Tamandua tetradactyla: one gene and its partners. Each later gene encodes a partner of the first gene's protein in a complex. Links are inferred from orthologs where the notes say so. Each region holds a gene or a part of one and is shown in the gene's direction. Other genes may lie near its edges.

Region 1 (7,462 bases):
CCTGCTCTTTCTGTAATGTGCTTTGCTTTTATACTAAAACAAATAATAAAGAAACAAGATCTCTGTCTTATTCATCCCCTTTATCTCCATATCCAGCACATTTCTTGGAACTCCAAAAATATTTTCTGGAAGGCTAAGATTTTCACTCTAAACTAGTGAGATGGAGTTGTTAATAAACACAGCATTACACTACAGCTATGCATGGGTATAACTTCTCTCTTCTTTTAGTGAACGGTTCATTCTATTAATACGTGATCAATTCTCAAAAATTTTGCTTTCTTACTATAAGACTGATCAGATTCAAACTCCAATCCAATATCCACTAGCAATGTGACAACAAAGATCTGCCCTCAAATCTACATTCTAGTGAGAAAGCCATGATCAAACATTTGTCAGATGGTATGACAAAACAAGTGCTAGGGAAAAATAATAGACTGAAGGGGACAGAAGATGACTTCAGGTGGGGGGTACATGTGGGGGATCAGAGATGGCATAAGATTTCAAAATATACTAGTGCAGTAATTTTTGAAAATCTCAAGTTGTGACTAAGTGCGATCATGAAATCAATTTAGAGGATGAGCTGCATAGTTTTAAAAAAATGAAATATAAAGATACAGAGCCCATCACATATATTAAAGGTAAGCACTGTTTTGTGCTTGTTCCAGTTAACTCACACAGGTACTAGTCTGTAAAGCACTGCCTGGCATGGAGAAAGGCGTGATTAACTTCTGAACTTTGAAGGAAAGAGTCTTAGAGAAGGGTACCTCTCTCGGTTAGGATAGTCACACCTTGTGCCTGCACCTGTTCATGTCTTACTCAATTACATAACGGACTTAGCTGGGTGCAACAGAGACAAAAAGACAATGCAGTAAAAGAGGGAAAAAATATCAGGATCAGAGCTAAGAGGTAGGGGAGAAAGGCAAAACAAAACTAAACAGTTAAGCAGTTCAAGAGAGAGAACTGTTTTCACATTTTTCCAGGCAAAAAGTACCCCATAGGAAAAACACCAAAAAAAAAAAAAAAAGCGAGAAATAGGATTGACAGATTTAACAACAAAAACAAAAATCACCAAAATCCAAAGCTAATCATATATGCTATACATGATAAGTGCATGACACTCGTAAATATTTTTAGAAACTTCCCTAATATCTGTTCCATACTCCCTGCTCCTATTCTCCTGCTATCAAGATTTTAAAGCCATACAGTTTGGAAAGGTTTCTCTTTTTTTCAGCCCTTTAAACATTTAATACATTTTGAAAATCATGCCTACCCATCAGGAATGACTAAATTATATTAATGAGAGACTGGAAATCGTCTGCCAAGCCTTCCCTGGCCCTGCAAAGGACGGGGTTCCCACTGAAGCAGGGCTGTGATACAGGACTGTTCTAGAACAAAACCAGCAAACTACAGTTCGCTGCCTCGTTTTCCTATGGTCCATGAGCTAAGAATGACTTTTACATACTTTTTAATGGTCGGGAAAACAAACCAAAAGAAGGAGAATATGTTGTGGCACATGAAAATTATATAAGGGTGCACCAGCGGTTCAGTGGTAGAATGCTCCTGCCATACGGGAAACCAGATTCAATTTCCAACCGATGCATGCCAAAAAAGGTTATATGAGATTCACACTTTAAAATATGGTGAAAATGGCAAATTTTATATTATATACACGTGATACCACAATGTAATTTTTAATTACATTTAATTCAAATTTCGGAGTCTATAAAGCTTTATTGGAACACAGCCAGGTTCATCCATATTGTCAAAGGCTGCTTCAATGTTAAAAGGGCGGCAGAGTTGAACAGTCAACCGCAAGGCCTAAAATATTTACTACCTGGCCCTTTATAAAAAAAAAGTTTGCAGATCGTGTTCCTAGAATACAAGGGCCGTACTGCTTAATCACCCTTCCAATCCTCTTCCCTCTCTAGCCACCACTCCAGCTTTAGTCAAGAACAAGATTGCTGTGCCTGCCATGGAGGGAGGGCGTTATAATAATGAATTGTATCGAAACTTGAGACATAAGACTATAACTTTCTATATAAGGCCATATGAGTGGTTCTGCCACCAATTAGAGTAACTTCTGGGTTCGTTTCCCGATCAGAAAAGTGTGCATCACAGCAGCAGCTGCACCATTTCGTTTGAACATCACCATGGTCACTTGCGTGCAGGCACTTGGAAACGTATCAAGGCAACAAGTGTTCCGAGGGTGTTTTTGCAAGGCGGAGCGTCTCTCCGAGTCTGGATATAGACTGCGCTGCCCTCTGCAAGTCTGCACCTCCGTCGCTCCCCGCCCGCTCCCCTCTACGTCCAGCCCTCCTTTCAGTCTCTCACTTCCCCTTTCGGCCCCGCAGCCCGCTGGCTCCACACCCACCTCCCTCCCCCTTTCCTCAGAGCCTACCAAGTTGCCCGGGAGCACCGGGTTTAGGTAAAACCGGCCCGGGTCAGCCCGGCCCAGCACTGTCCAGTCAGGATGGTGGGTTGCCCTGGGACCCCTGCAGGTGGTAAGAATGACTCAGCAGGGCCCAGGCCTGGGCCCGAGACGCGAACGACCCAGCCCGGGGCCCAAGTCCCTTGCACTACGAAAAGGCCGCAAACCATCATTTGTTCTGGGCCCAAATACCCCAACAAACGGAAATTTAATTCGAGTCCGTTTCCGACCGCTGTGGCACCAGAGTCAGGCTGTCTAGGCCCCCACAGGCCGCACGTTTAAATTAACAGGGCGGGCACGGCGACTACTACAGCCAGAAAATGCCTGGGGCCTCTTCAAAAGGTCCCCTTCGACTCCCACAAACCGCACCCCACCCCCACCCCGGGCCGACCTCGCCCGCCAGAGGGGGCGGCGCGCCGGCCCCGGGAAAGGCCAGCGTCTGCTTGGAGGAGAACCTTTAGGGGTGCACTCAATCGCATGCCCGGGACTACCAGGGAAACGCACTAATTTCTTGAGAATTGAAAACAATTCCTAAAACTCTGGCCCACAGTCCCCGGCTTGCTCCCGCCCCCAAAGATTTCGCCCGGCTAGGCGGCGGCAGCCTCCCTGCCCCCTCTCCCTTCCCCCCACCACCTCGTTTCAGACAACCACGCCCCGCAGCCCCAGGGCTCACCGCCCCGGGGCCGCCAGCCCCCGCGCAGCTGGGCACGCCGCGCCTCCATTCGCCCCGCCCCCGCGCGTCCCCATCCACCCCCGCGGCCGGCCCTGGGAGCGCCAGGCGAGACCTTGCGCCTGCGCGTCGCCAACTTCCTGCCGCGGACCTCCCCGCCCACCCCCAGAGTCCCGCCCCCGAAAGCCGCGTGAAACCCGCCCGCCTCACGCCATTGGGCGAGGCGCAGGAGCCGTTGGCTCCCAGGCCCGCCTCCCCACCGCCTCTCACTTTTCCCAGGCGGATGCGCCTGCGCCCAGCAGCCTGGGCGGGCTGAGAGGCGCGGGTTGAAAAGTCTCGTTCCAAGTTTGGAGAGAGAGAAGCGCAGCACAGACCTCGGTACCCGCGAGAGGGGAGGAGGCAGGAAAGAAGGACGCGGCATCTGGGGGAGCACGCAGGCAGCAACGGAGCTCAGGCTTCGGCAGCTAGAAGTGCGTGACGCTGCTGGGAAAGGCAGGAGCGCCTGCGGTTGGGCTGCTCTCGACTAGCGAGGGGAGTCCGAGGCGGCGGCGAGGGGCGAACGACCCGACGCAAGATGGCGAGTAAAGAGAGTAAGAGGCCCTGCGGGGCGGCGCGCGCCGGGGCTGCGGGGGGCGGCGGGCGCGCGAGGCCGCGGCACGCGCCGGCGAAAGGCGCGAATTGGCGTGCGGAGCAGGGGGCGGGGCCGGGCGCCAGGTTGGGCGCGCGCCTCGAGGGGCCTGCGCGGGACGCGGCCGCGGCGCGGAGGGTTCCGAGCACTTCCGGAGCCGGGCGCGGGGCCCAGGATTGGGCCCCCGGCGGCTGCGCTCTCTTGGGCGCTCCCGGCATTGGGGCGGAGGCGGCCGCCACCGGGCAGCGGGGACGGCGGTTCTCTCCGCACGCGCGCGTCCACCGCCTTAGGGTCGCGGCCTCGGCCGCGGGGCCTCTGGAGCCGCTTGGCCTATGGCTGCCCGCGCGGGTATCGTGGGGCCTCTCCTGGTGGGGGATGAAGGGAGGGGGCTGATGGTTTTCTGCTACGTGTAGATCTGTCTCCGAGTGGGTTATAGGGATCCTCTAGATCCACACAATCCATCTCCTTAGAGCAGGTGCGAACAGCTGTAAAGGACAAAACAATTCCTAAAATCAGAGGCGGTTTGGCGTCCCTGTTACTATCCTATTCTGTTTGCGCAGGAGATATTGAGCTCAAAGTGCAAAAAATAAGCTTTCTGGCATTAATATTCTGTCCACGTTCTGGGGGAGCAGTTTTTTGCCTCTAAAGTAAAGATAAAGGGATAGATGAGAGGTGTGGCCATCTCGAGGTGACCTCTCCAGTACCTGTGTACAGTTTCTGACTTCGGTCTCTCAGCCACTTAATCGTATGAGCTTTCTCCAAATTTCAGTGTTCGAAGATACTGTGGAGGAGCGTGTCATCAACGAAGAATATAAAATCTGGAAGAAGAATACACCATTTCTATATGACCTGGTTATGACCCATGCTCTTCAGTGGCCGAGTCTTACCGTACAGTGGCTTCCTGAAGTGACTAAGTAAGGGTTTCTGGCAACTTTTATTTTGCAGAAATTGAAGTGTCGACCTGAATTTCTTAGCGTTCTATACCTAGAATGTAAGCTCGTAATCATTAGCCCTTGGATGAGGTGGTAGGTGGTTTTTATTTTTAAAGTTGAAGTGACTTATGGGATGAATTCTGATGTATACGCGTGGCATTAAAGGGGGAGAAAGGCTCCTTTGTGAGAATAATGATGTTTTTAGGAAACACTGAATATATTGAATGGTCTTGGGCTGAGATATAGAGCAGCATCTCTCGGGGCCCTGGACTACTGCATTTCTTTCAAACTTTATTGAAAGCATGCACACAGAAGATGCACAAATTGTAAATGTAATTTTTTTTGATGAATTTTTACAAAAAGAACACGCCCATGTAGCTGGCACTCAGGATAAACAGTTTTGATTGGCAAAGGGAAAAAGTTTGGCAACGGTTTCCTGAAGAAAGGCTGTTATTGTCTTAAAATATAGAATATACTTTGAGATTGCTGTTAGTTTTCATTAGAGTGTTCTTTTTAGCTAGTCCTAAAATTTCTCTGGTAATAATTGCTGACATTTATTGAATGCTTAGAACAGGATCTGGCACATCTGAGAAGTTTTACGTCCTGTTATTTGGTTTAATCCTCACAAGGGTACTACAGTGCATAGGTGCTTTTATTATCCTGTTTTGCTGATGAGGAAACTGAGGCTGAAAGGTTAAAAAACATGCCCAGGATCACCTACCTGATAAGAAGTGGGCTTAAGAACACAGACCTGATGGCTCCAGAGTTCAGACAACCTCTGCACTAGCCTGCCTACCTTTCTCATGTGCTTGCCCTTTTCCTAGCAGAAACTTGACTGTAGACTTTAAAGGTGTATTAATTTTGGGTATCATGAGTACATAATTTAATGGGGGTTAAATCAAATAATCTATAAAGTGAATTTTTGTGATAAGTTATAAAAATAATTTTAAAGTTGTTTTATGTTCTATTTTATAAATTATTACTTATTTTATAAAATTATAGTTTTGTGAAAGATTAACTTATTTTGCAATGGCCAGATTCTCCGTGTGCAAACGTTTGATTCCACACAGATAGGGTCTCCGTTGGTGTTCCTAAATGTCTGAGTGTAAATGTACAGATACAGGAAAGGTAGCCAAGAACTAGTAATGAAGACTTCCGAACACGGGCATTTTGTAACTACCTTTGATAGATTTCTAAAATAGATTGAGCGTCATATGCTTAAGGGTATTTAGATTCTGGTTTGAAGCATCTTGTGCATTTGACTCTGTCTTCCTGTTAAGCAAATTCAAAACTTTTCCACAACTTAACGTACCTTACCTTGCATCTTTTTGACCTGTAATATTGTAGAAAAAGCCGGGGGCTTTCAGTTTAGAGACCTGGGTTTGAAGATTGCCCCTATTTGTGACCTAGGGCGAGTTCAGACTCTATCTCCACATAGTCTGGACTGTAAATGGAGATGCTGGTAGTATTGACCGCCTACACTTGAGGGAATTAAATAAGATCATCCATATTGAAGTCCTGGTGCATAGTAAGCACCCAGTAAACCTGTTGTGGTAGCTGATGCTGATTTTCCCATTCCTTCCCCTTTGTTAGACAGGGTGGAAATAGTTCTGTGTTTCTCCGTTTGAATTTCTGTGGTAGTGACTAACTAAAATCCATTTTAAGCATTGCCAGCAATGATGTTTTGCTTATAGGTTTTAAAGATAAACCTATATGTTCCTCTTGGGTTGGACAGATTACTTTTATATTCACACTTAAGAACTTACCAGAAAATGCTTTAACTAAATTACATATTCTGTGGTGTTCTTCACATACAAAGAGGTTGTGGGATCTGGTTGTGGGAAGTGCAGTGGCTCTGGGAATGCAAGAAAATGCCAGCCAGCCTGCTTGCATTCTTGGATGTTGAAGACTGCTCTGTGGTGCTTTTAGCAGGGTTCTGTCTGGGATACGAAGGGAATATGATTGTGTTTTATCACTAACAAAACGGTAAAAATGTTGGCTATGTTTCTTACTGCCTGAGACCTTTAGCCCTCTCGTAGGTCTTTCTTCTTCTGCCTACATACAACATGTTTTCTATTACTTGAACTTTCTGAGTTGGTATCCTTAAATTCATTTAGGTAATTGTCCACATAGTTGATTTGGCTTTTTAAAGGTTTTATTTTTTAAAGTTCATAGATCATTATTTCATATCTTGTTAAGTAACTTCTTAATAAATGTATTGAGACTTAACTTAGTTTCTACCTAAAGAGCTTTTGCAGTCTATCAAAGTACGCAAGTATATAGAGTGAAGAATAAATCTCCCTTCCACGTCCCCTATTTTCCCAGCTCCCTTCCCCAGGGCAGGGACACTCATTTTCAATTTCTTAGCCATCTTGCCAGCATATAGAAGTGCGTATTTATCTCTTTTCCACCTTTTTTTGTGGTAACAGGTTGTTCATGTGACTTTTCATTAAGAGTGTATATTGGAGCCTTTTTCCTATCAGCATGCTTAAATAGGCTTCATTCTTTTCAAGGGCTTCATAGAATTCTATATGTCATCAGTTCCTTAGTGATGGGTATTTAGGTTGTTTTCAGTCTTTTGTGACTGTGAACAGTGCTGCTGAGGATAATCTTGTAATAAGACACATTTCTGTGATTGTGAGGTAAATTTCCTAGCAGTAGAGTGACTAGATCAAAGGATTCTGACACTGAAGAAGGGGACAGGCTCTTTTACCATTAGTACTTCTGCAGCCTTTAGGTACATCCAGTGTTAGAGGAAAAGAGTTTCCTTTTGATTATTTTAGAAAGTAGGCTTGTGTTTTGAT
Region 2 (7,738 bases), on another chromosome or scaffold:
AGACTCTGTGGTCTATCTGTTCTTTGACATTCAGTTTGGCTTATTCTGGACCTCTAACTTAGGTTTTGTTTAACAGATTAGAGTTTTTCAGTTCTTGCTTTCTTTTTTCTTGCCCTGCCTGTATGGTGCCTTTTTCTTCCCCTCAGGAGGGTCTACTTAGGTGTTACAGACTCCAGCCAGATTTTCCCAGACCACACTGGTCTCCCGTCAGGAGGAGAGAGACACATGCATCAGTTTTCCCTGAGGGTGAGACCCAGCAGATTGAAAGGCTTTCCTATGAAACCTCTGGGCTCTCCATTTTTCCTATCCTGCCCAGTATGTGGTGCTTGTCTGCCTGCGGGTCCCAACAGCATAAGGTGATGTGGTACCTTTAACTTCGGTGGACAGTTGAAGTTGCTGGGGGCATGGTGGAGACAGAGGAGAGGTTGTAGTCTGGTTTTAATTGCTTTGCTTTTCCAGACGCTGGGGTCTGAACTCCTTGAGGGAGGAATTCCACCTAAGCTGACCCTCACTCCTCTCCTGGGGGAGGCACAGGCTCCAGACAAACACTCAAAAAAAGTTTAATCTGCCTATGCCTGGGGCAGTGGAGCCCGAGAAGGTTTGCAGCTATATCCAAAGAGCAGTCAAGTCATAGAAACACAGCCACCAAAACGAAAGAGAAAAATCTTTTTCAGAGCAGGACCCCATTCCTTGGGTTTGCCAATCAAGTGCTAAAGTTGATATATTGCTGTGTGTATCTCCAGGTCCTATGTGCCCCCTCCTCTCCTTCAGGGCCCAGACCTTTTCAAATCCAAAAACGTGTTTTTTGTTTTTCTTTTTCTGTCAGCCATGACCCCTCTGCACCAGGGCAAAAACCAGTGACCTCCACTTTTACTCAAGGTTCAGTTGAGCTGGGGGCCTATTTTTAGTAGTCAGAATTTGTTAACTCCACAGTTGGAGTTTGGTTGTACTCAGCCCCTGCTGTTGGTAAAGTCCCTTTCCTTACCCCTCTGGGAAGCAGCCTGTGGGGGAGGGGTGCAACCCACCGAGGCTTGGGGAACTTACGGTTCTGGGGGGGGGGTGCTTGTACCTGGTCCAGCTGGTTCAGACTGGGGTACACTGTGTGTCCAGTCACTGACATGGCCCCAGCAGTTGTTGTGTACTGCTCCTGGCTATTTATTAGCTGCTCTGGAGGACGAACTAAATCCCACACCTTGCTAAGCCACAATCTTGGCCCTAATGTCTTGCTTTTATTCTTGATGGTTTGTCTACTTTGGAAAGCGAAATTACTTTTTCTCTTTTAGGATTCTGTCTATTTTCTAGTGAACAGACTTCTAAGAGAACTAGAAAGACTATTTGATTTATCTCTATCTTCCCTAATCAGACAAAGTTACTAGAAGGAAGGCATAACGTTTCATCTACCTTTGTATCCCCAGCACTTGGAAAGTGTGTAGTATGTAACAGGCACTTCAAAAATGTTCACGAAAGGAATAGATAGATGTTTTGATTTATTCCTAGAAACTGTTACTAAGACATTTCTGATTTTATCCTCTAAACCGTCTATTGGCTCTCACAGATCAGCAGCATAGGCATCACCAGTGAGCTTGTCAGAAATGCAGTCAGGTGCCCCTTCCCAACCTATGTATCAAGAGTCTCTGGGGATGGGGGTCCAATGAACTAGCCATGTTTCTATGCCTGTTATAGTTTGAGAATCATTGATCTAGACAGTATTTATCTTTAATAGTTAATACCATTTTATAAATCTCAAGAACATTATGTTGAGCACAAGAAGCCAAACTCAAAAGAGCACATACTGAATTTTTCCATTTATATCAAGTCCTAGAATAGGCAAAACTTACATATATAGTGAAAGAAATCAGAATAGTGGTTGCCTGGGGAGTGGAGGTTAAGGATCTGACTAAGAAGAAGTATGAGGTAACTTTCTGAGGTGTTGGAAGGTTCTATCTATATTTTGACGGGATGCGGATTGCATGGGCTCATGTCTGCATTGAAAGTCACTGAACCATATACTTAAGAGTCCATGCATTTCACTGTATATAAAATAAATAAAATTTTAAAATAAAGTAATGCCATTCTAATTCCGTCTATATAAATCTTATCAGCAGGAGATATATACTAACATAATGATCTTAAAATGGTCTACAAGCCTTCCATGATTTGACCCCCTACCTACTTCTGCAGCTTCTCCCTGTACTACATTCCTGTCATTTTTTCAGTTCTTCAATAGCACTGAACTTTTAGTATTCCAAAGACGCTGTGGCCCCACCCAGCCCCAGAGCCTTTTTGCATGTGCTTTATATTACTGCCCTGGAATGTTTTTCCTCCTCTGTTTCACCTGGTTAACTCCCATTCTTTTGTCAGCTCTCACTCTTTTGTTCTTTAAGGAAACTCTCCCTAACTTTTATCATGTGAGTCCACGGAAGTTTTTGTAGGGCTACTGTGTATGCAACCAAAAAAGGGTCCCCAGATGAGGTGACAAGTGGCACTCAAATCAGTTTGTGCTGGGCTGTGTCAACCTGGTAGAAAAAGCACCCTTTTCTCTTTCATCAAAGCCACAGTCTGTTTGCCAAACCGTGAGTACTCTGGTCTATTTCTATAAGGGTAGCTTTTAAATTTTTTTATCGCAAAAAAGTAACATATACACACACAAAAATGCAATAAATTTCAAAGTACACAGCAAAAGGGTGACTTTTTAAAAATAGCACAAAAATACCACTGGGCTAGCAAAAGTACTTTGGCTTTGGAGTCTATCAGACTTGATCCCTAGCTTTGCCATTTGAAGAGCTGGGTGTCTTCAGGCAAACTGATCACTCTAAGCCTCAGTTTCCTCATTCATAAATTGCAGGTGGTTAAGTCCTCTCCAATTGAAATGGTTCCTGACATCCCCCACAGTAGGAGAATTCTGTGTTGAGAAATTTATTATTTTTAACAGGTAATTAGACTTCATATTTATTAAATTAATACCATAAAGGTAGTGCTATACATAGAATACCCGTGATATTTTACGTATCTTAAATCAGTAATAATAGTAACTAATTTCCATTTATCACCTATGAATCACCAGAAAAAGATTTTTAACATCCCTCCAAGTTTTAATGGACTCTTTTTAAATCTTCTTGCTTTGTTATATATAATAAGCATGCTGAAAGGCAGTTTCTTTTCACATGTACCCTTATCCAAATGTTCAGCACTTTTTGTAGTTTATGACTAGAAGTTGATTCCCACTTCCCAGCTCCCACAGATTCTAGACAAAGTAATTGGATTTAAAATTCTTTGGTAATTTATCCTTTACTTATATAGCTGTATTTCACAAACAGCCTTTTCAACAGAGGAGTGTAAGCCTCAGCTAATGAAAATGTCACACCAAAGAACATCTTATTTCCTCAGTGGGCTGACTTCATAACAGTCTCGTTTCTCCTCACCAACTGAGGAGTGCTTTGCAGTACCTAGCAAATTAAAGGGTTCAGCGAATAACTGCAATTATTCTTGTTAGAAAGACCTGAACTTTAAAGTAGCTTCCTTATTTTTTCTGAAAGTTCACTACAAAACCTTTTATTCTGCCCCGTCTTTGCTATACTTTGCTTTTCTCATTCTCAAACAAGATTTTTCTTTTTATCTCCAAAAGGAGAATGGTTTGCAATCTGCAGATAATGAAACTGATATTCTATTAAGGGATCACGTGAAAGTAATTCAAATATACTAGAATTTTATGGACACCGCGTTCTAGACTGGTTATCCACTGGGTGATGTAACGAGGTCTAAAGAAGAAAATGTATTTAACAACAGGTAGGTCCTCCAGAAGTGTTAGGCTCCTTCCCACCTCATTTTTATAGATGAGGAAATTGAAAGCCCAAAAGATAATCACAACTGTGTTCTAAAAAAAGGGGGGGGGGGGAGATGGGGAAGGAAGTGGGGATAAATTTTATTTCTTGCCGTCTTTCTCATTGTTTTTCTCCTGCTGCTTTTTCAGTTACACGGCTTAATAACTCATCTTACAAATCCATAAGGCTCCTCAAAGTATTTGGTACATGTCAAGAGCCCAGATATGGTATCACTAACAGAGACAAATATTTTGGTGAATTATAAGTTTTGTAGCCTTCTCCTTATTGTAGCTGATGTGCCAATAAAATATTGTGCGACGTCTAAATCACATAGTTGAAAACGACCACTGATTTGATCGACCCTGACAACCATTTAGCCGTAAAAAAAAAAGTCCTTCGGCTTAACTCATTAGGGTCTAGAATCATATTATGATTTCAGGATAGTCCTACTTAAACCTTACCTGATATTGGCACTAACTAGGTGAGGTTAATTGTCCATCGCAATAAGTATTCATCAGAATAAATATTCATCAAGAATTTACGAAGCAATCATTGACTGTAATTTGGTAACGCTTTGAAATCCATCCCGGATTATGGAAAAGCGGTGGAAAACTACCTGGGTCAACAAACAAGATTTCGAAAAGAGGAGGCGCTTGGAGTAGGCGGGTCGGAGCAAGACAGCGCGAGAATACACTCTCGCGCAGGCGCGTCTCTAGTGAGTAATTTCCATTTGCTAAGGGGGGGAGATGTGGGAAGCAGTTTATGGTTTTGGAATTTCTACATTCAGTAAAAAATTACGTTATGAACAGTTACGTAATCTACCTGAAAGTGTTATCCTCCGAGTTCGAGATTAATGACACTTGATATACACCGCTAAAGCAAGAGGCGACTTCTTATATCTCCCCCCGTTCCCAGGCACATTTGTGGTCTAGTCCATTCCACAGAGTTTCGAGACCCTGCAGCGGGTCGGTGATCGAAGATTTGGGCCAATTGCGGCTGAAACGGCTTTGGTAGGAGGAAGAGGGTGAGGGAGCATACCTCTGAGCCCCACCTCTCCATTACGAGGTGGTAGTGGGGAAAGGAGACGGACGAAGTACTACTGCCCTGGAAAGCCAACGGATCATACCTCTCTAAGCAAGCTGCCGGGAGGGCGGCGGCAAAAGGGCAAAACGGGAGTAGGGAAAGGGAAGGAGCCAGGAAGCCGCGCGGGAGGGCGCGCACGCGCGCCCCTTTTTCAGCAGTGTGGCGGGGTCGCACGCACGCCCGCCTCGGCGGCTGGGCGCAGTTTGCGACAGTGGGGGGAGCGGTGGAGGTGGCGGCGGCAGTGGCAACTTTGCGGCAAGCTCCGGCCGGGCTTGCTTGACGGCGGTGTGGCGGAGGCCACGCTCGAGGCGGCAGGAAACTGGAGGGAGGCGGAGGAATATGTCCGAGAGGGAAGTGTCGACAGCGCCGGCGGGAACAGACATGCCTGCCGCCAAGAAGCAGAAGCTGAGCAGCGACGAGAACAGCAACCCTGACCTCTCTGGAGACGAGAATGTGAGTACAACCCCAAGCAGTCTGGACGGGACTCTGGAATGAAAGTTTAAAATTCTTCTTAAACTCTACGTCCGGGGGCTTGCGGGTTTCTGTTGGGGGAGGGAGAGGTGTCACTCTTTGCTCCGGAAAACGCGGGCGTGGAGGAGAAAATCGAACTTGTCTCTATGGGGGTTTTGAGCTGGGATCGAGGGCAAGCAGAAACTTTGCGAAGGGGAGTAGTTTGAGTATTTGGATGATGGTGAGCGGTTCCGAGGGGTCTGTTCTGAGCTCTTGTTGCCTGTGATGGAGAATGTTTGGGCCTTCGAAACACTTGGGGAGAGTGCGAATCTGAGATTCCTGTAGTTTAAAAGGCATGTTAGAGATTAGGAAGGGGGATGAGAGTCTTTTAGGGCCTCTTCTAAAGGAGTTTGGAGTCACTTTCACTCTTTAGGCCCTTATAGAATCTCCAGGATGGGAACTGTAAATCTTCGACTTATTGGGGTTTGGGTGACTCTTTTTAAGGACGTTTTGTACCTCTTTCTGTCCTGGAGCAAACCTGGTGGAGAGCGTGTTGAGTGTCGATGTCTTTGCCAGAGGAGCAGGGTTTATGAATTTTGGTCTGACTTGGAGGAGGAACGACCTTTGGGAAGGAATGAGAAAGGAAGGCTCTCCTTTGAAAGTCCTTATCTTAAGATGAGGAGGACCGGAAGGATAATAGGCAATGGTGATAAAAGCATATATGCATTATATGGGCTCCTGGCTCTAGCAGAGTGTAAGGTTTTTGGAATTAGCTTTTTTTTAATGTTCTGAGATGGATTTTGGTAACTTAGTCCCAGCAGTTAACTAAACTTAAGTTGAGGTGACTAGCCAGTAGGAACTAAATTGACATTAATAAATGTAGATTGAAGAGTGAAAAACAGTCTGGAAATACTAAAACTGAAATTCTGTTTTGTGTGTGTGCGCCAAACAAGAAGGATGACTGTATAAAAAAGTGTAGGAGTGAATGATGCTTAAGTAGCGTATACTTAGAATTTCCAGGTAATAACTAGAGGATGTGGATGTTTCAGATTTAATTAGAATTCCTTAGAAAGGATAATATTATTTTGGCTTGCACACCAAAGGACTTAGAGGAAATATGGACTGGTTGGACAATCTTTTTTTTTTTTGTAGCTGCATGGCAGGGGGTCACATTTCATTCTTTTTCCATGTGAGTATCCCGTTAATGCAGCACAGTTTGTTGAATTTTTGTTTGTTGTTTGCTTGTTTGTGTTTGTTTTGGGACGTGCATGGGCCTGATTCGAACCCAGGTCTTCTGCATGGCAGGCGAGAATTCTACCACTGAACTTCCCTTACACCCCCTTCCCTCAGTCTTATAGCTTGCTTTCCAACTATAAATTTCATGAAAGTGGGAAAACAAAAATTTGATAGCTATTTTATAGCAATTCCTATTTCTCTGAGTTTCCAAATGTTAGTATCTAAATGTTTCATGTTTTAAATTTATATCCCAAAGTGAAGTCAGCAAATTTCTAAGATAGTCCACTCAAATTACTACAAAATGTGGGCCCTTGAGTCCTCTTCTTTTTTTTTTTTAATATTTTTATTGGCAAATCTTCACAAATACAATTCCTACTTTGTGTACAATCATTGACTCACAATACAATGATATAGTTGTGTATTCATCACCATGATCATTTTAGAATATTTGCATCACTCCAGAAAGAAAAAAAGAAAAAACTCATACATCCCATACCCCTTACTCCTCCCCTCATTGACCAGTAGTGTTTCAGTCTACCCAATTGGAACTCCCCACTATTTATTTTTTATCCATATTTTTTTACTCATTTGTCCATGCCCTGGATAAAAGGAGCATCAGACACAATCACACAGTCACGTTGTAAAAGGTATATCGTCATAAAATCGTCTTCAAAAATCGGGGCTACTCAAGAATCACAGCCCTTGAGCCCTCTTCTCATAATGTATCGCAGTATCTGAATATTTTAAAGAATTTTTTAAGGTGTTGTATGAGGGTCGTGTAAATTTTTCATTTTGTCAGTTTGACTAGTTTTAGGAATTTTTGCACCTTACACATTTAGTTCCTAAATTCCACATCATAAACACTGAGGCATATTATATAGCATGATATTGTGACCTAATTTCTCAGTGAAGTGATGGGAAAGATTCTTTTTGTTAGTTAATTCTTTCAGTTAGAAAGATATTTTGGTCCTTGTCAGTTTGTGGATCTTGGATTTGAAATTTCTGAAAAATTTGAGTGTTGAGTGTTACTTAAAATTTTTTTTTTTCTTTTCTCCTTGTTTGTTTCCGAGTCTTGTATATTTAGGTCTAACATTTGTGACCCTCTTCATTCCAGTCCTTGGAGCTTGTTACTTTTATTTCTGGATTAA
Region 3 (7,999 bases), on another chromosome or scaffold:
GGAACACCTGAAATCCATCTGCACATACAAAGACATGCACATACATTGGACACCTCAGTCCATCCTAACCATCTCCCATAACTAGCATCCACTTCTAGGGTGCTGAGGGGGCAAGGTGGTCTCTGGGGAAAGGGGAGAAAGCAGGGTTGTGGTGGCCAGTAGATAGCACCTCCCACCTGCACAGCGTCCCCTTTGCTCCCTGTCCCCTCATGCCACTCTCTTTCCCCCTCCCTTCCACAAAGGGGGGGCCCTTGATTCTCCTCCCCTCCCCCCTCCCCTTCATTTCCTCTCCAGCTCCCTCCACAGCCATAACCAGTAAAACAGGCGGCCAGCTATTATGGGATGGCTGCTCCCGGCAGCTCTGCAGGGAGGGGGCGGTCACCGCGGAATGTCTCCTGTGGGTGGCTATTATGGGATGGCCGCTTCTCTCTCTCTCTCTCTCTCTCTCTCTCTCTCTCTCTCTCTCTTTTTTGTTGGGGGGGGGCCTAGCAAGGAGAAGAAATATTATGGGATGTGCCCTGTACCGCTGGGTGGGGCTGCCCTGGGTAGGTGAAGCTCTGGGAGGCGGGGGAGGGGGAAGGAAAGGAAGGAAGAGGGAGGGAAGAAGCTGGGGAGGGTGGGGTGAGCCCTGGAGGCAGACCTGAGGCCTGGCAGGAGTAACTGGCTGGAGAGGTTTCTTTGGTGACAGCTGTTTGGAGGGGCCACTAGGGTAGGCTCGCTGGAGCTAGCTGAATTTGAACTCTGGACACCTGGGTCCTTTCACAGCTCATGGGCAACAGGGTTGTTGAGTCCTGGGTTCTGGCTGTGTGGCACACCAAAGGGCACCTGGTGACCACAGTACCCAAGGACACCCTTCCTCTTTCCTTCCTGGGTTTGAGACTTGGGACCATTGCTCAGGTGGAAGCTTGTGCATGAGATACTATGCTACCATGCATTCAGATCCAAAGAAAAGAGGCTGGGTTGACATCCCAAGGACAAGGATAGATGCCTGGCTTGTCACTCCCAAGCCCCACACGACCTGTATCCTGTCTAGCCATCAGAGCTTACTGTCCCTGTGGCTTTTCTTCCTGATGTTGTCTTCCCAATCCCCCTTTCTTCATGGAGCCCAACACTGTGCCCCTTAGGCCTCCGTCTCATGAACAGAGTTTCCTGGTCTCACGCAAATCAGAGGTGTAGGGGGAGGAAATCTAGAGCATATGCTGAAAACTCCATGGGCAACTCACTCGGAGTGTTATTCTAGGTTCTTCTGTACCATGGGATGCAAACAGAACTCTAAGGTAACGGGCTAGAGAGGCTGTCCCCCTGGGTGCATTAATCAGGAGATTATCCCACCCTTGGTCTCTGTGGGCCAATCAAGCTGGTGGTTTATTTATAATTTATCTGGGAGGGTAGTATGGGGCCAGGGGAGGGAGGGGGAGGCATAGAGGCATGAAGACCACAAAAGCAACACACAAACATATATCCTAGCCCTTGCTAGGAGAGGAAGAGATTTTAGCCTTCTCCTTGTGGTGGTTTTGGGGAAATGGGAAGTAAGGGAAGGGAGAGAATAAGTAGGTAGTACCTGCAGGGATGGGGTAGAGGGAGTACAGTGGGTAAATGGGAACAATATTTCTAATCATGGGCAAGAGGCTGTGAGTCCCCACTTCGAAAACTCTGATTTCTATTGTGAATCACTGTGGTAAAGTGGTATATATATATATGGAAAAGGGTATTGGGTAGATGGAGATATTACAGAAGGGAAGCTGAGGTCCAGAAACAGGCTGGATCCCTTAGAGGAACAGGGAGAGAGGAGGGCAAAAATAGGTATCTGGCAGCTCTAAATGCAAAGGAGAAACTTCCTTGAAGAGAGGTAAACTGATATTTAGCCATTTTATGGGAGATGCCCCTTTTCCCCCTAGTGAGGAGTGCAAAATTCATTCTTAGTGTCTGGTATAAGCATGGGGAACAGTTTAGAAAAATGAATGGGGATTAATCTTGATGTTGAGAATTTAATGAGAGAGATTCTATGTAGCCTTGCATGCAGTGGAAGCATGCTACAATAGGTATGGTAACAGAGTGTCCAGGGAGTTGGAGCAAATGTCAGAAAAAGAATATAGGAACTACAAAGGTGGTAGTGAGTGCCAAGACTTGAGGTCTTTGATGTTGAAAACTCCAGTCCTAAGGTGAGAAGAGAGTGAAACACGGAATGCTGGTGGTTATACAAAATAGGCAGGAGCAGGTGGGAAGACTTAGCAGCAGCACTGGTGCTCTGCTTGGAAGCAAAAGGATTGTAAATTCTGGAAACAAGCTCTCACCTCTCCTCAACTCATCTCTACTTGCCAGTTTTCCCAGTCCTTAAGTTTCCAAAGGAGGGGAAAATCATCTGGTAATGCCCTTTCTCTAGGGAAATAAGGGCAATGAAGAGATGGAGGGAGAGTCATCCCATTTACTTCTGGTTGGGAAGGAACCCTCCTAGGAGGGAATTCTAGTTTCTCTTCAGACTGTCCTCCCTATATAAGTTATGATCTGTGTGAAAAAGACAAATGGGAGTCCAGGAAGACACTATCTCTGGCTTAAGGGAAGGGGCTGGTACCCCAAGACAGTGGTGCTGAAACATTGGTTCTCGCTCAGGTCTTACATCTCTGGGGCTTGGGAGGAGGGGAAAGTGACAGGCTTATGGGTTCAGAGTCTCCGAGGGCCAAAAGGTTTTAAAACAGCTCTTTTGACTCTCCAGGGCTGGGGCCCCAGGGTGGCTAGAGGGTAGGGGCAGGTAAGGAAGAAAATGGAATATGTTGGGAGGCTACCTTGTAGTATAACTGACTGAGGAAGGCATCCTGGGATGTTTGTAGGTACGGTGAACATTATACAACTAAGGTCTTTAGGTGGAGAATGGGGCCTCAAGAAGATTGGGGCAGGGACAATTGGAGGTATTGTGAGACTTCAGAATATCAAATGTGAAAGTGGTTGAAAAATATGAGACTTACTGGGTAAGCAGAATTTGGTGTTCAAGAATGAAGGTAATGGTTGATAATATTGATGAGTCTCTCAAGAAGAAAACCCGCGATGATATTATAGAATTTTGTATTAGGAGTGGTAAATGGAGAAGCATTGCCTTCCTATCAAAATCTCTCAGTGTGTAGGGAATAGTTAGGAGATTATTTTGGCCATTCATCTACATGGTAATATTTTTCAATATCTTCCTGACTCTAGAAGGACCCCCAAGAACCTCCACTAAGATAGCATCTGTCCTGAGACGAGTTGGGATGTGTTTTACTCTCTGTAATGGGAAATTGGGAAATAGCACTCAGTCGTTCTTCCTTGACACCAAAACATTTCTATCTTGTGTCACAGTTTGCTTGTTTGGTAATGCGTCTTAAAGGGAGGCATCAACTGCCTTCTTTGCATCCCCCTTTGTGCTGAGCTCTGTGCTCTGTCAACATCTGTTGAATGAACACAAATAGTAGTAAGTAGTAAGTAGAAGGAGAGCAGGTCCTAGCTCTTGGTCTTCGTTCACATCATGATGGGAAGACAATGACATTGCTGGCATGTTGAAAAATAGTCTTTGGATGTGATTTTGCACTTATTATAGGATGCCATGTTGTGAATTAAACTTTATGTAATGGTTCATCTGGCAAGCATGGTATTTTGTCAGTTTTACTCAACGTTTAAGGGCAGGAGATGAATATGGAGTATACCTGGATTTTAGTGGGATTGGGTGGGGCCCTATGCTGGCTCTCAGATCTCTAGTGTCTGTCTGGAAATAACAGGAAGCAAAAAACTAGGGTTCTAGACATTAAGAGGATTTATGCTAGGGTACTGATTTGGCCCAGAAAGAGCTGAAAGTGTGTACAACTTTGGGCGGGGACAGGGCAGTGTGGGTAATCTGCTTTGCCCTCTGTACTCTAGGTGTTAGAACAGACAGCTTCTTCAGGAGATGGGGAGGGATGAACATGAATATTATGGGATGCCTGGCAGAAGGGTATAGGAGTGGTGGGGTGGAGATGAAGCATTGTGGAAAGTGATGTTGAGTAGTGCTGGGAGTATTTTGGTACCCACTGGTTGACCCAGGGCACCTTGCTTGCAATTATTATGGGATGTCAGGGTATGAGTGGGGGAATAAAATTATGGGAAATCTTTCCAGTGTTAGGGGAAAGGTGATTAGATGCCCACCTGCCCGGTGGCGGTAGGGCTGTTGATCATCAGGGGATAGAACTTTTTATAGGGGAGGAGTGGATGTTATAAGCTGTGGAGCTAGAGTGAGAGCATGAAGGATGGGGATGGTGTTGAAAGGATCTATCTAGACCCTAGCCGGCAGGGACCTAGGGCAGCTCTAGGGGGTTGGTTATTATGGGATGTCAGTAGAAAAAGTGGGAGACTGATTATTATGGGATATGTGTGGGAGGAGGCCCAGTGTCCGTTGTTGTAGTGTGTGTAGGGGGGTGAATTTCTGACTATTATGGGATATCAAACTGGGGGTGGATGAAGAGTGGTTATTATGGGATGTCTGTGGGGGATGGGTATGAGTATTATGGGATGTAAGGCTCCAGTGCTGGGAGGGGTGCTTATTATGGGATGGCCACGGGGAGGGAGAGGTGACGATTATTATGGGATGTTAGTATTAGGGTGAAGAGTGAAGAAGTTGGCAGAAGGATGGCTATTATGGGATGTCTGGGGGGGAGAGGGTTAGTTGTAAATGGTCTGCAATATTATGGGATGTCAGCAGCCCTGGCATATATATGTGTGGAGTGTGTGTGTAATGTGTGTGTGTGGGGGTCGGGGGTGGGTGTCCGTGTGTATTATGGGATGGCCAAGAGGTGGGCGGTTGCCCGGGTGACACGCGCGCGCGCGCTCGAAGGGGGCGTGGCCAATGGTTGCCTGAGCGACGAGGGGGCGGGGGTTGCCCGGGAGACCTAGGGAGGAGGGTAGCGGTAGTGGAGGGGGGGTTGGAGTTGGTTGAGGTTATTATGGGCTGTCCGCGGGGGGGCGGGGCCTGTGCGGTGGGATTTCCCGGCCGGTGTTTCGGGCCCTTTAAGAGGCGACGCCGGAGCCGGAGCCATTTTCCCCCCTTCGGCCGCGGCAAGGAGGAGCTGGAGCGGGAGTGACACCGGGCCGGACCCTACGCGACCTGCAGCGGCTCCGGGGTGAGGAGAACGCGGGGTTCTTAGAGAGACGCGCCTCGCAGCCCGGCAAGCCCCGAGGGTCGTCCCTTCACCCGCTCTATCCTCAGGCGCCCCCAGACCCGTGGACCGCCCCCTGTCCGGGGGAGCCGACCCTGCCTTTCCCTTCCCTGCAGGGTGCCCAGCCTCCTCCCGCCGCAGCCGGCTCCAAGTCTCGCTCCCGCACCCTCATCCCCGGGCTTGGTCCTCCACAATGCCCGGCGCCGGTCCCCTCGCCCTCTGCTCACTTGCCCCCCGGGACACGTGGCCCGGCCCCCTTCCCGCTGGGGGCTCTCTTGCCCCCACGTCCCTGACTCCAGCACCCCCGGAGCGCCCGAGCTTCCACGCCCCCTTGTCCCCGCGGCTCCTGAGGAGAACCTGAGTTGTCCCAGAGGACAGCCTTTGGAGAGCTGCCCTGTCTGGGGACTGGCCCCTCCCCGGGAGCAGGAAAGCGCCCCCCCCACCCAAGTGACCTTGTGTCCCCGAGCGCCTCGCCGCCCGCCTCCTCCGGCCGCGGCCACTCGGACGCCCCCAACCCCCACCCCCACCCCGTCACACCCTGCCCGGTCCAGCCCTGTTTCTCCCTTCCCCACGCCAGCACCAGCCTGCCTTCGGGGGCGTCGCTCCCTCTCATCTGGGGGCTCCTGTTGGGGAGCTGGCTTCCGGGCTGCCCCCGAGGAGGAGTGTGGAACTAAGTTCAGCCTGAGTGGTTCGGGTGTTGGGGTGGGGGTGCTGCTGTAGCTGGTGGGCGGAAAGAGCGGGTGGGTGTGGGGGAGGGGGACAGTGCGCGTCACTGACTGTCTCTCTTTCTTTCCCCCCTCCCCCGCACAGTGACTCGGGCCAGTGTCGAGGGCCCCAGGCCGCAGGCAGGAGCAGCTGGGCCAATTCCCTGGCCAGGAACGGAAGGGGATGGCGTCGGGCCTGGGCTCCCCGTCCCCCTGCTCAGCGGGCAGTGAAGAGGAGGATATGGATGCACTTTTGAACAACAGCCTGCCCCCACCCCACCCAGGTAACATCATCCCCAAGGGTCCAGGATGGGAAGGAGGCTTTTGGGTCCTCCCTGCTGACTCTGGTGAAGCGGTGCTGAGTTTCTGGTCTTTCTGTGCAGAGTCTGAGGTGGAGGGCCTTGGAAGGAAGCGGTTCCCTTCTGCAGAGCTCTTGTGGGGTGGGGGGTGGGGGGTGGGGGGCTGGGATGGTGGAAGCCATGTGCCTCCTGGGCACCTTGGACTGCGTGGATGCCTGCTTGCTGCACTGGTCTTGAGGAATGCTATGCAGTTCCCCATGGAGAGAGCGCTGCAGACTGGCAGGCATGATTACATGTGGGGATCCTTGGAGGAATGCAGGTAGCCGGGACCCCTGGAAGCTGTTAGATTGGGGCATGTGTGTATCTGTGCTAGTAGGATCCTATGGTTGCTACTGTGGAAAGGAAGGAGAGAGTGCTGGTTACTCTCTATTTGATTTTTAGCTTCTGATCAGTCACTGGCTTTCTGTACTGTTTCAACGGTGAAGTTTGAATTGCGCTCCTCAGCCGGGATCTAGAGTGCTTATAGCCAGGCAGATTGCTGGAATGTTTTGAGCGGAGATGGGGGCTAGGGGATGATATAATAGCCCTAAGAGCAAAATAGGTGGGGCAGAAGAAGGGAGGCGACACCCTGGGCACCCCTCCTCCTCTGGCAAGTGGACATAATTCTGGCTTTGTTCCTCGGGGTGTCTGCCACTGTGTAAGTAGCCTGAGGTTTGGGGTGGTTGGGGTGTTTTGCAGTGTTTATGTAGGTGTGTTGGGGGTTGTGTTATCTGTGTTTTGGGGTGGCTCCTTGGATTGGCCTAACTCGAATGGTTATAACCTTGTCTATCCTTAAATGATGATTGATCTCATGCTCCTAAGTGGGTATCTCTCTTGTCTTCCTTTCTTCAGAACTCCTAGCTAAGTTACCTACTGGTCCTTGACCTTTTTTCTAGCTTGTTTTTGCTACATGCCATTTCTTCAGCCTCTCTGCTTATATTTTTTCTCCTCATTCTGGAGCCTGCCGATCCTGTTTATATTTCCCATCTAATGTCTTTCACTTCTGTTTTCTGTCTTAGCTCCAGCCGGAAGTTGAGGTGATTTGGGAGACATGCTTCCACATTTGGCATTTTCTAAGTTGGAAGTCTTCATCTCAGCCAGAGGTCACTAAAGCGAGGGACCAGCCATGGTGTCTTCTTTGCATGTTTCTGAGACTTCAGTTGTTGAGATAGAAAACTTAGGCTTGAGTCTCATAGGCTTGAGTCTTATCATTATGTTGGGTAGGGTGGTAACTTTCTGTGCTGTTGCCCAAGGTAGAGTGGTTGTGGTGGTAGGAGAGCTTGTCCTTTCTGTGAGGGGCATGAGAATTAATAATGTTATTGAGCCATTGTTGCTTCTACCTCTTGGCCTCCCATTGGTCACTTGGTGTGGGGCAGCCCAGTGTTGACTGGGAGCTGTGCAGCGTGAACTCTGCCCCAAGCTGTAGTATGACCCAGTTTTTCCACTTGCCACACCCCATTCCTGCCCCTTTCCCAAATCTTCGTCTATATCTCAGCCAGTTTGCCACTTGCCACATCAGCATATTGTCTGCCTGACAAGTTTTGGGGTCGCATGTGGAATGTAAGGGTGGCCCCTTTGCCTCCATGGGTTTGCCCTTGTCTCTACTTACAGCTTTTACGGAGGTGGCGAAGAAGAAGAACCGAGATGTAGCTGATTCAGGGGGTGACATGGGGATTGCTGGGGAGAAGCCCTTAAGAAAATGATTCTTTCTGGTGAGATCCAGGCTGGTGTTCCATTCCCAAGGGAATGGGAGGGGCTTTCTTGTGCCTGGCCTGATCCTGGGCTGAGTGGGACGGGTTGG
Region 4 (6,981 bases), on another chromosome or scaffold:
AGGGAAATTATGCATTTATAGAACAATAGTGTATAAAATACAGGATTCCTATGGACGGTGTGACAGTGGCTCAGTGTCAGAATTTTCATCTGCCATCCCAGAAATCTAGGTTTGATTCCTGGTGCCTGCCTATGCAAAAAAAAATATATATATAGGATTCCTATACACCACCCTGTTAACATCTTGTATTGGTGTGGAGCAGTTGTTATAACTGATGCTAGAACATTTTTATAATTGTAGTATTCACTGTAGTCCATGCTTTCACATACGGTTCACTGTTCGGGTAGTGTCAGTCCATGGATTCTTTTTTTTTAATTTTCATTGTCACATATATGAAGTTTAACATCTCCCCTTTCAAATCACATATTTCAGTGCTGTTAATCACATTCACAGGGTGTGTTACCATTACCACCAAACTGAGTAGTATTTCACTGAATGGATGCAACACAGTTTATTTATTCACCTATTGGAGGAAATCTTGGTTCTTCCAGTTTTTGGTGATCATGAATAAAGCCGGTATAAACTTTTGCATGCAGATTATCACGGGGACATAAGCTTTCAAATCATACAATTGCTGGATCATATGATAAGATTATGCTTAGTTTTGTAAGAAGCTGCCAAGTTGTCTTCCAGAGTAGCTGCACCACTTTGCGTTCCCACCAGCAACAAATGAGAGTTCCTGTGGCTCTGCAAACTCACCAAGAGTTGGTATTATGTTTTATGGATTTTAACCATTCTTAAGGTATCATGGTATCTCACTGCTTCATCAACTTATTTTTCCTCATTTTATTACAAGATTTTTCAAACATAATAAAACCAAAAAAACTGTACAGAAATACAATGTTGAGTTTTATAGTCACAAGGTAAGGCAACAAACTCATCTGCTGGCTGGACTGAGCCTGGGGGCTTGTTTTCAGTGTCTGGTTTGGAGGCTATAATGCTGCAAGGCTCCAAATTGCAGAGGGTGAGCTAGGAGCCTGGGGTCTGAGTGGAGAGGGGACTCCCTGAAAAGTTCCTCCAAGACCACGCCACAGAGGTCTGTGCTATCTTCCCCCCAGGGTAGGAGTGTCCCTACCAAAATTGTCATCTCTGACCTCCTCAGGGAACTCTGTGCTCCTTCTGCTATGGCCCAAGGAAGAAGGATTTGGAAAACTGCTTGAGGGCAAGGTTCAGCCCTGCAGTCACCTCCTGGCATGTCCCTCCTGCCAGACACCGGCAGTGGAGAAAACGGGAAAGCCTAGGCTTTGGGAGAAGAGGCAGAGCTACTGGCCCCTCAGTGGCCCCCTCCCCCTATCCCTGCAGAACTCCTTCAGAGCACAGCCTCTGTGCCACTGGCAGGCTGGGGAGGCTCTTGGGTGATACATGATCAACACTTTTTATTTCTATAGTCAGATACTTAGTTTGAATATGAATTACAGAAGAACTTGGCTAGTCTTTGTAATTAGTCCCTGGGAGATACCCACTAACTCTTTGGGATTTCCCCTAATAGGACTGTCATTTGCTATTCCTGCTGGGCCCCAGCCTACACCTCCGAGCATACATTAACAAGATGACTCAAGGTGGGGCCAGGCGCACCTGCGGCTTTATTACGGGGGTCACCGAGGTGATTAGAGGATTGGGCTTTGAGCCAGACCTCTGCAGGTTAGAGGGCGGCAGCTGGAGACCAAATTCACCCACCTGAACCTTGATTCCATCAATCATGCCTTAAAGTGTCAAAGTACACAGAGGCAATTAGAAAACCTTATTAAACCTTATTTGGGTAACAAAGGATTAGCGAATCAGGCAGCACCAAACCAAAAGTGTAAGGAGGGAGTGGAAAGGGGAAGCTTATATAGGGCACAGGTGGAAGCAAGTGAGACGTTCTGATTGGCTGACATTGTTAGCATTTTATATGGGGGGGTCTTACAAAAGTGGGGAGCAGATAGTCATGGATTAGTATGGTATGCCTGTACATTCTGATAAATTCTCTCTACTGGACAGAAACTGGTTTATCACCAGGTGTTGCTTACCTGCAATCCTGCAAGATACCTTTCCTCATTCCATTTTCTCGGAAAGCCCCTGCAGGTCAATTGTTTTATCTCTGAAAATCCTTTCTTGGAAAGGGTCCCCTCCTGGCAACACCCAATGCAGGCGGCCATTTAATTTTACTTAACCTAAGTAATGAAACTCTGAAAAAAACTCTGGCCAGTGAAGCTCAAGTGAGCTTCCCTGCCTGACAAGACTCTGTTGTGCAAGGCGAGTGATGTGTCCTGACTCCACAGGGAGAGGACGTGAGCGCTTTGGCATCTGGCGACCTCCCAGACTTTATCCTATGTGTCTCTTATTTGTATCTTTTCCACTATAATAAAATTGTAATTGTAGCATTTTCCTGAGTTCTGTCAGTCCTTCCAACAAAAGGTAGAACCTGTTGTCAGAACCCCTGAATTTGTAGCCAGTTGGCCCAAGTGCAGGGGTCCCTGGAACCCCTGAACATGTGGCTGGTGTCTGAATTGCCACCTTGGGGAAGATTGTGCTCTTGGGCTGTGAAGTCTCATCTGACTTCGGATAGTTAAGTCAGAACTGCATTGTAATTAGAAAACTATGAAGTACACTGAGCTCATAACTAAACTGATATGATTCCTTTTCCTTTTAAATTTTTTTAAAAAGTGAATTGATACAAAGGAAATATTAAGTAGATGATGAGACTTGAAAATGTTTCACAAAGACTAGAACAGATGTTCAACACAATGAATAATAGACGGTTATATGGGGAAAATGCACCTGCTGCAAACTTCGGACTATAGTTAACTGTAATATTTTAATACTCTTTCATCAACATTGACAAATGTACTACACCAACACTATGGGTCAATAATATGGGATGATACAGAGTATGGGAGGATTAGGGTTTTCTTTTTATTTTCTGTAGTAAAGAAAATGTTCTAAATTTGCTTATGCGGATGAATGCAGTGTTAACCAGTGACTGTACACTTAGGATGGTATCTATGTTGTGTGACTATATTTCAATAAACCGGCATTTAAAAAATATTTCACAAAGGACTGAAGTTAGAAAAACATTGGGTACAGATTAAATTCCAACTTCCTTACATGTTTGCCACCTGAGATTCCTCTATCATTACAGCCCTGCCCTTGCTTCCCAATTATCCCCACAGCAAAAAGAAATGACTTGTCCAATCACTTGTGCTTCCAAACTCTCAATCCTTTCCATGTGCCAGGCCCTCTACCTGGAGCACCCCCCTCCTTCTCTGCTCCCACCACCCACCTTGGGGTCTTAGCTCAAATGCCACATCCTCTGGGAAAGCTTCTGTGAGGTCACCAGGTAGGCCCCTTCCCCTTGGCTCCAATGCTCCAAGGTCTGGGCTTCACCGTGGCCACTCCCTTAGTGTTGTCTGTGCCTCTGCTTTCCTATCTGCTCCTCTTAAGACTAGGAGCTCCTTGAGGACAGAGTCTGCAGCTGGTTCGTCTCTGTATCCTCAGAGTCCAGTGCAAGGTCCGGATAGGGAAGGGATTCAGGAAATGTTTGTTGGATGAGTGCATGAACACATGTCCCGGAGATGAGGGAAAACCTACAGACCTAGGGGCGTGACATGTACACCAGGCCAGACAGGTTTTGGGTGGAAGGAGACTGGGAAAAACAGGAAGGGGGGTGGGAGGGTCTGAGACTTGGGGTTTGTGATAGATGAGATTTGAGTGGGGTCGCGTAAGGTAATGAAAATGTTTTGAGGCGCTTAAATGGGATAGGGATAAAGGAACAAGAAGAATAAAATCGTAAAAGCAATACAAATATTCATTGAACCCACACAATAACTCCGAGAGGTAGTTTTCATGACTCCCCCACCCCCGTCCCATTTCACCGACAGGCACAGGAGATGAGCGACTTGGTCAAAGGGAAACTGCTAGTAGGGAAGGTGCTGAGATTCGAACCAGGCAGTGACTGCACTCGGTCCTGTCAGTCACTCCTCTGGTTCAGAGCCTGGCACGCAGAAAGTGATTAAGGAGGGGTTACCTGTGACTGCTGCTGTCATTATCTGCGGCAGAGGCGTGGGGGCTGGGGGGCGGGTCGCGGGGTCTACGGGTCGTCCTTACACCGACCACCTACGGACGAGCCAATCCCAGGAAGAGCCGCGGGTCGCGGCGTTGGTGCTGGACTCGTTGCCATGGAAACAAAGGGCGGCAGCAAGCGAGCGCATGCGCAGATTGGGGAACGGGTGTTCAACCGGCGAAAGGTGACGTAAAAGCGCATGGGGTGGGGCGGAGGAGCCGGGACGTCAAAGCCCTGCGTCCTTCGGCATCCGGAGAGGAGAGGCGCGCTCGGCGGCGGCGATAGCGGCCCCAGGTGGACCGAGTCTCGGCCGGAGACCCGGAGGCGTGAGGTTGACGTGCGAAGCGGCGCGGGAGAGGCGGGCGGACAGCGCCCGCGCCCGGGAGGAGCCACTCGACGCGAACCGCGGCGGCCCAGACCCGGGTCCCGGTTCCCGAGGCCCCGCCCCTGGGGCCGTGGGACTAATCGGATTGAGAGCGCGCTGGCCCGGGCCGCGAACTCGCCAGTTGCGGAGGGCGCCGCTCACTACCCAATCCGAGGCAGACAGGTGCGAGGTCCGGAAGGCGGCGGCCAATCGGCAGCGGTTGCGACCTGTGGGGGCCGGTCTCGGCCAATAAGGAGGCTCGAGTGACATCTTGGCGCGCCAATCGGGAGTGAGGGAGCGGTCGCGCCCGCCCGCCCTTCCGGCCCGAGCTCTATTTACCCGGGGCGTGCAGCCCACTTGCCAATCAGAGCGCGGCCGAGCGGCCGGGCAGCCAACCCCGGAGGAGCCGCCGGCCGGCGTCCGCCAGCACCCAGGAGTTTGGGATGTCCTACAAGCCCATCGCCCCCGCCCCCAGCAGCACCCCCGGTTCCAGCACCCCCGGGCCCGGCACCCCGGTCCCTACAGGTGAGGACCCAGCACCACCCCTGCTCGCCTCCCCGGCCGGTCGAGGTCTCGAAGACAAGACGGCCTGCGTTCTGCCATGCTGGCGCCGCCGCCTACCTTCCCGCGAGCCTCAGTTTCCCGGCCTGTGAAGTAGGCGTGGTCACGTAAGGGCTTGTAGGTGGAGCGCAGGGGGAGGGGTTTGTCCCTGAAGTTGAGCGGCCTGGAATGAAGTTGTCCCCTTGGAGGGATTCGGGCGAGCCCGGTCGGGAGCTTGAAACGCTGGGAGGAGGCGTCCCCGCCCCGCGCTGACCGCTGACCTCTGACCTCTTACTCGCGCGTGTTGCAGCCGGCAGTGTTCCGTCGCCGTCGGGCTCGGTCCCGGGAGCCGCAGCCCCCTTCAGACCACTGTTTAACGACTTTGGACCGCCCTCCATGGGCTACGTGCAGGTGAGTGCGGCCGAGGGTGGGCCTGGGGGTGGGGGGCTGGAAGCCCACCCTGGTTGGATCTCACTGCCTTGTTCCCTTTTGGCTCAGGCGATGAAGCCCCCCGGTGCCCAGGGCTCCCAGAGCACCTACACGGATCTGCTGTCGGTCATAGAGGAGATGGGCAAAGAGATCCGACCCACCTATGCTGGCAGCAAGAGCGCCATGGAGCGCCTGAAGAGAGGTAAGCGAGGCGGGGCCCACCCTGCCCTGCCCAGGAGAGGACACGGGGCAAGCCTCCTTCCTTAGGACAGGAAGGGCTACCGAGGCCACCCAATCCAAGCTCAGCACCCATCTCATTACCCAGAGAGGCATTCTGAAATGAATGGAATTGAACTGAAATCAAGTCCATTTCGAGGGAGGGACCTGAGAACTCCTATTTTACCAGGGTGAATTTGAGGATTGGCCAAACCTCTAATCTCATCCAGCTTGTCGTTATAGACTTCAATCCCTCTTACTGAAGGGCAGAGGGTGGGGAGCCAGTCTTCCTCTGGAGGGTGGGGGTGCAATTGGAGCGTCTCCGGGGCCTGGTGTTACTTCCCCGCCCCCACCCCAGGCATCATCCATGCCCGGGCCCTAGTCAGAGAGTGCCTGGCTGAGACAGAGCGGAACGCCCGCACGTAACAAGAAGCACCTCGTCTCGGCGTCTGGACCTTTCCTGGCCACCGCAGAGCACCTGCTTCTTCCTGGCCTTCACCCTGAGTTGCACTTCCCATCCTGGGCTTCCTGTCCCGTGTCCCGTGGTGGGAGCCCTCTGGGAGGCAGGAGGCAGCTCCCACTCCAGTCAGCAGCACTAGCTGGGGCCCCTGGACTAGTTAGCAGTGAGGTCACTTGTGAGGCCCACCCATGACCTGCTAACCAGGTTGATCCAGCGGGAGCTTTCCCCTTCCTGGGGCCCCCCCACTTCCCCAGCACTGAGAACCACGTTGTCCCTGCCCCCCTTCTCCCCACAGCAGGCCTTAAGAAGGCCTGTCGACTCCCTACCTTGACTCCTGGGCTATAGCGACTTTTCTCAATGTGTCTTTTGCTAAATAAGCCCTTTTTGTATAAATAAAAAGTGATTTGGAGTTGTTCTCTCAGCTCTGAGCCTTTCTGGGTCCAGTTCTTCTAAGCCTAGGGGAGCCTGACAGCAGGGAAAGAGGAGACCTGGGGTTGAGAGGAAGTGCAGGGGTGGGGGGGTGGGTTGAGGCTGAGGCTGGCTAAACTTGGCCTTGCCTCTGCTGCCCATTGCTCCCTGGGTGGGGCCTGGTCCCAGGCCTCAGACCCTCAGCCTTGTCTGTCTACTCTTAGGGGACAGATTTGAGTTCCAGGAACGGAGAGCCCTGCCTATGCCTTCGCACTGTGCCGCCAGGGGGCAGCACAGGGCCTTGGCTGCCTCCACAGCTGGAGGGCACTGCCTGCCAGCCTGGGCCTGGAGCGTCCTGCCCCTGGAGTGTCCTGCCCCTGGGTGGAAATGCCAGTTCACCAAAGCCTCTCCTCCACAGGCCTTAGTGCCAAAATGTCCTCAACTACCCTGAATCCATCTTTGACTCTTCAGCGTGGGAGGTGGGAGTGGAAAGTATTCCTGCTTCCTTTCCCCAGCGCCGCC

The links.
Region 2: RBBP7 (region 1) and EED share a complex: the UniProt entries of both Homo sapiens proteins name them as parts of the PRC2/EED-EZH2 complex. The link is inferred for Tamandua tetradactyla from reciprocal best matches to the Homo sapiens genes RBBP7 and EED.
Region 3: RBBP7 (region 1) and CHD4 share a complex: the UniProt entries of both Homo sapiens proteins name them as parts of the nucleosome remodeling and deacetylase (NuRD) repressor complex. The link is inferred for Tamandua tetradactyla from reciprocal best matches to the Homo sapiens genes RBBP7 and CHD4.
Region 4: RBBP7 (region 1) and CDK2AP2 share a complex: the UniProt entries of both Homo sapiens proteins name them as parts of the nucleosome remodeling and deacetylase (NuRD) repressor complex. The link is inferred for Tamandua tetradactyla from reciprocal best matches to the Homo sapiens genes RBBP7 and CDK2AP2.

What each region holds. Positions count from the first base shown.
Region 1 is NC_135353.1:158,098,059-158,105,520, forward strand, and holds the start of RBBP7 (histone-binding protein RBBP7), read left to right. Parts: upstream 1-4,458; 5' UTR 4,459-4,473; coding exon 4,474-4,640; intron 4,641-7,462. UniProt on the Homo sapiens protein: Core histone-binding subunit that may target chromatin remodeling factors, histone acetyltransferases and histone deacetylases to their histone substrates in a manner that is regulated by nucleosomal DNA.
Region 2 is NC_135334.1:58,090,599-58,098,336, reverse strand, and holds the start of EED (polycomb protein EED), read left to right. Parts: upstream 1-4,738; 5' UTR 4,739-4,859; coding exon of another isoform or gene 4,860-4,880; 5' UTR 4,881-5,243; coding exon 5,244-5,357; intron 5,358-7,738. UniProt on the Homo sapiens protein: Polycomb group (PcG) protein. Component of the PRC2/EED-EZH2 complex, which methylates 'Lys-9' and 'Lys-27' of histone H3, leading to transcriptional repression of the affected target gene.
Region 3 is NC_135333.1:68,890,034-68,898,032, reverse strand, and holds the start of CHD4 (chromodomain-helicase-DNA-binding protein 4), read left to right. Parts: upstream 1-4,994; 5' UTR 4,995-5,120; intron 5,121-5,701; exon of another isoform or gene 5,702-5,913; intron 5,914-5,966; 5' UTR 5,967-6,044; coding exon 6,045-6,144; intron 6,145-6,360; exon of another isoform or gene 6,361-7,897; coding exon of another isoform or gene 7,898-7,910; intron 7,911-7,999. UniProt on the Homo sapiens protein: ATP-dependent chromatin-remodeling factor that binds and distorts nucleosomal DNA. Acts as a component of the histone deacetylase NuRD complex which participates in the remodeling of chromatin.
Region 4 is NC_135335.1:6,905,080-6,912,060, forward strand, and holds CDK2AP2 (cyclin-dependent kinase 2-associated protein 2), read left to right. Parts: upstream 1-4,246; 5' UTR 4,247-4,849; coding exon 4,850-4,931; intron 4,932-4,938; exon of another isoform or gene 4,939-5,074; intron 5,075-5,256; coding exon 5,257-5,357; intron 5,358-5,444; coding exon 5,445-5,577; intron 5,578-5,949; coding exon 5,950-6,017; 3' UTR 6,018-6,472; downstream 6,473-6,981. UniProt on the Homo sapiens protein: Acts as a component of the histone deacetylase NuRD complex which participates in the remodeling of chromatin.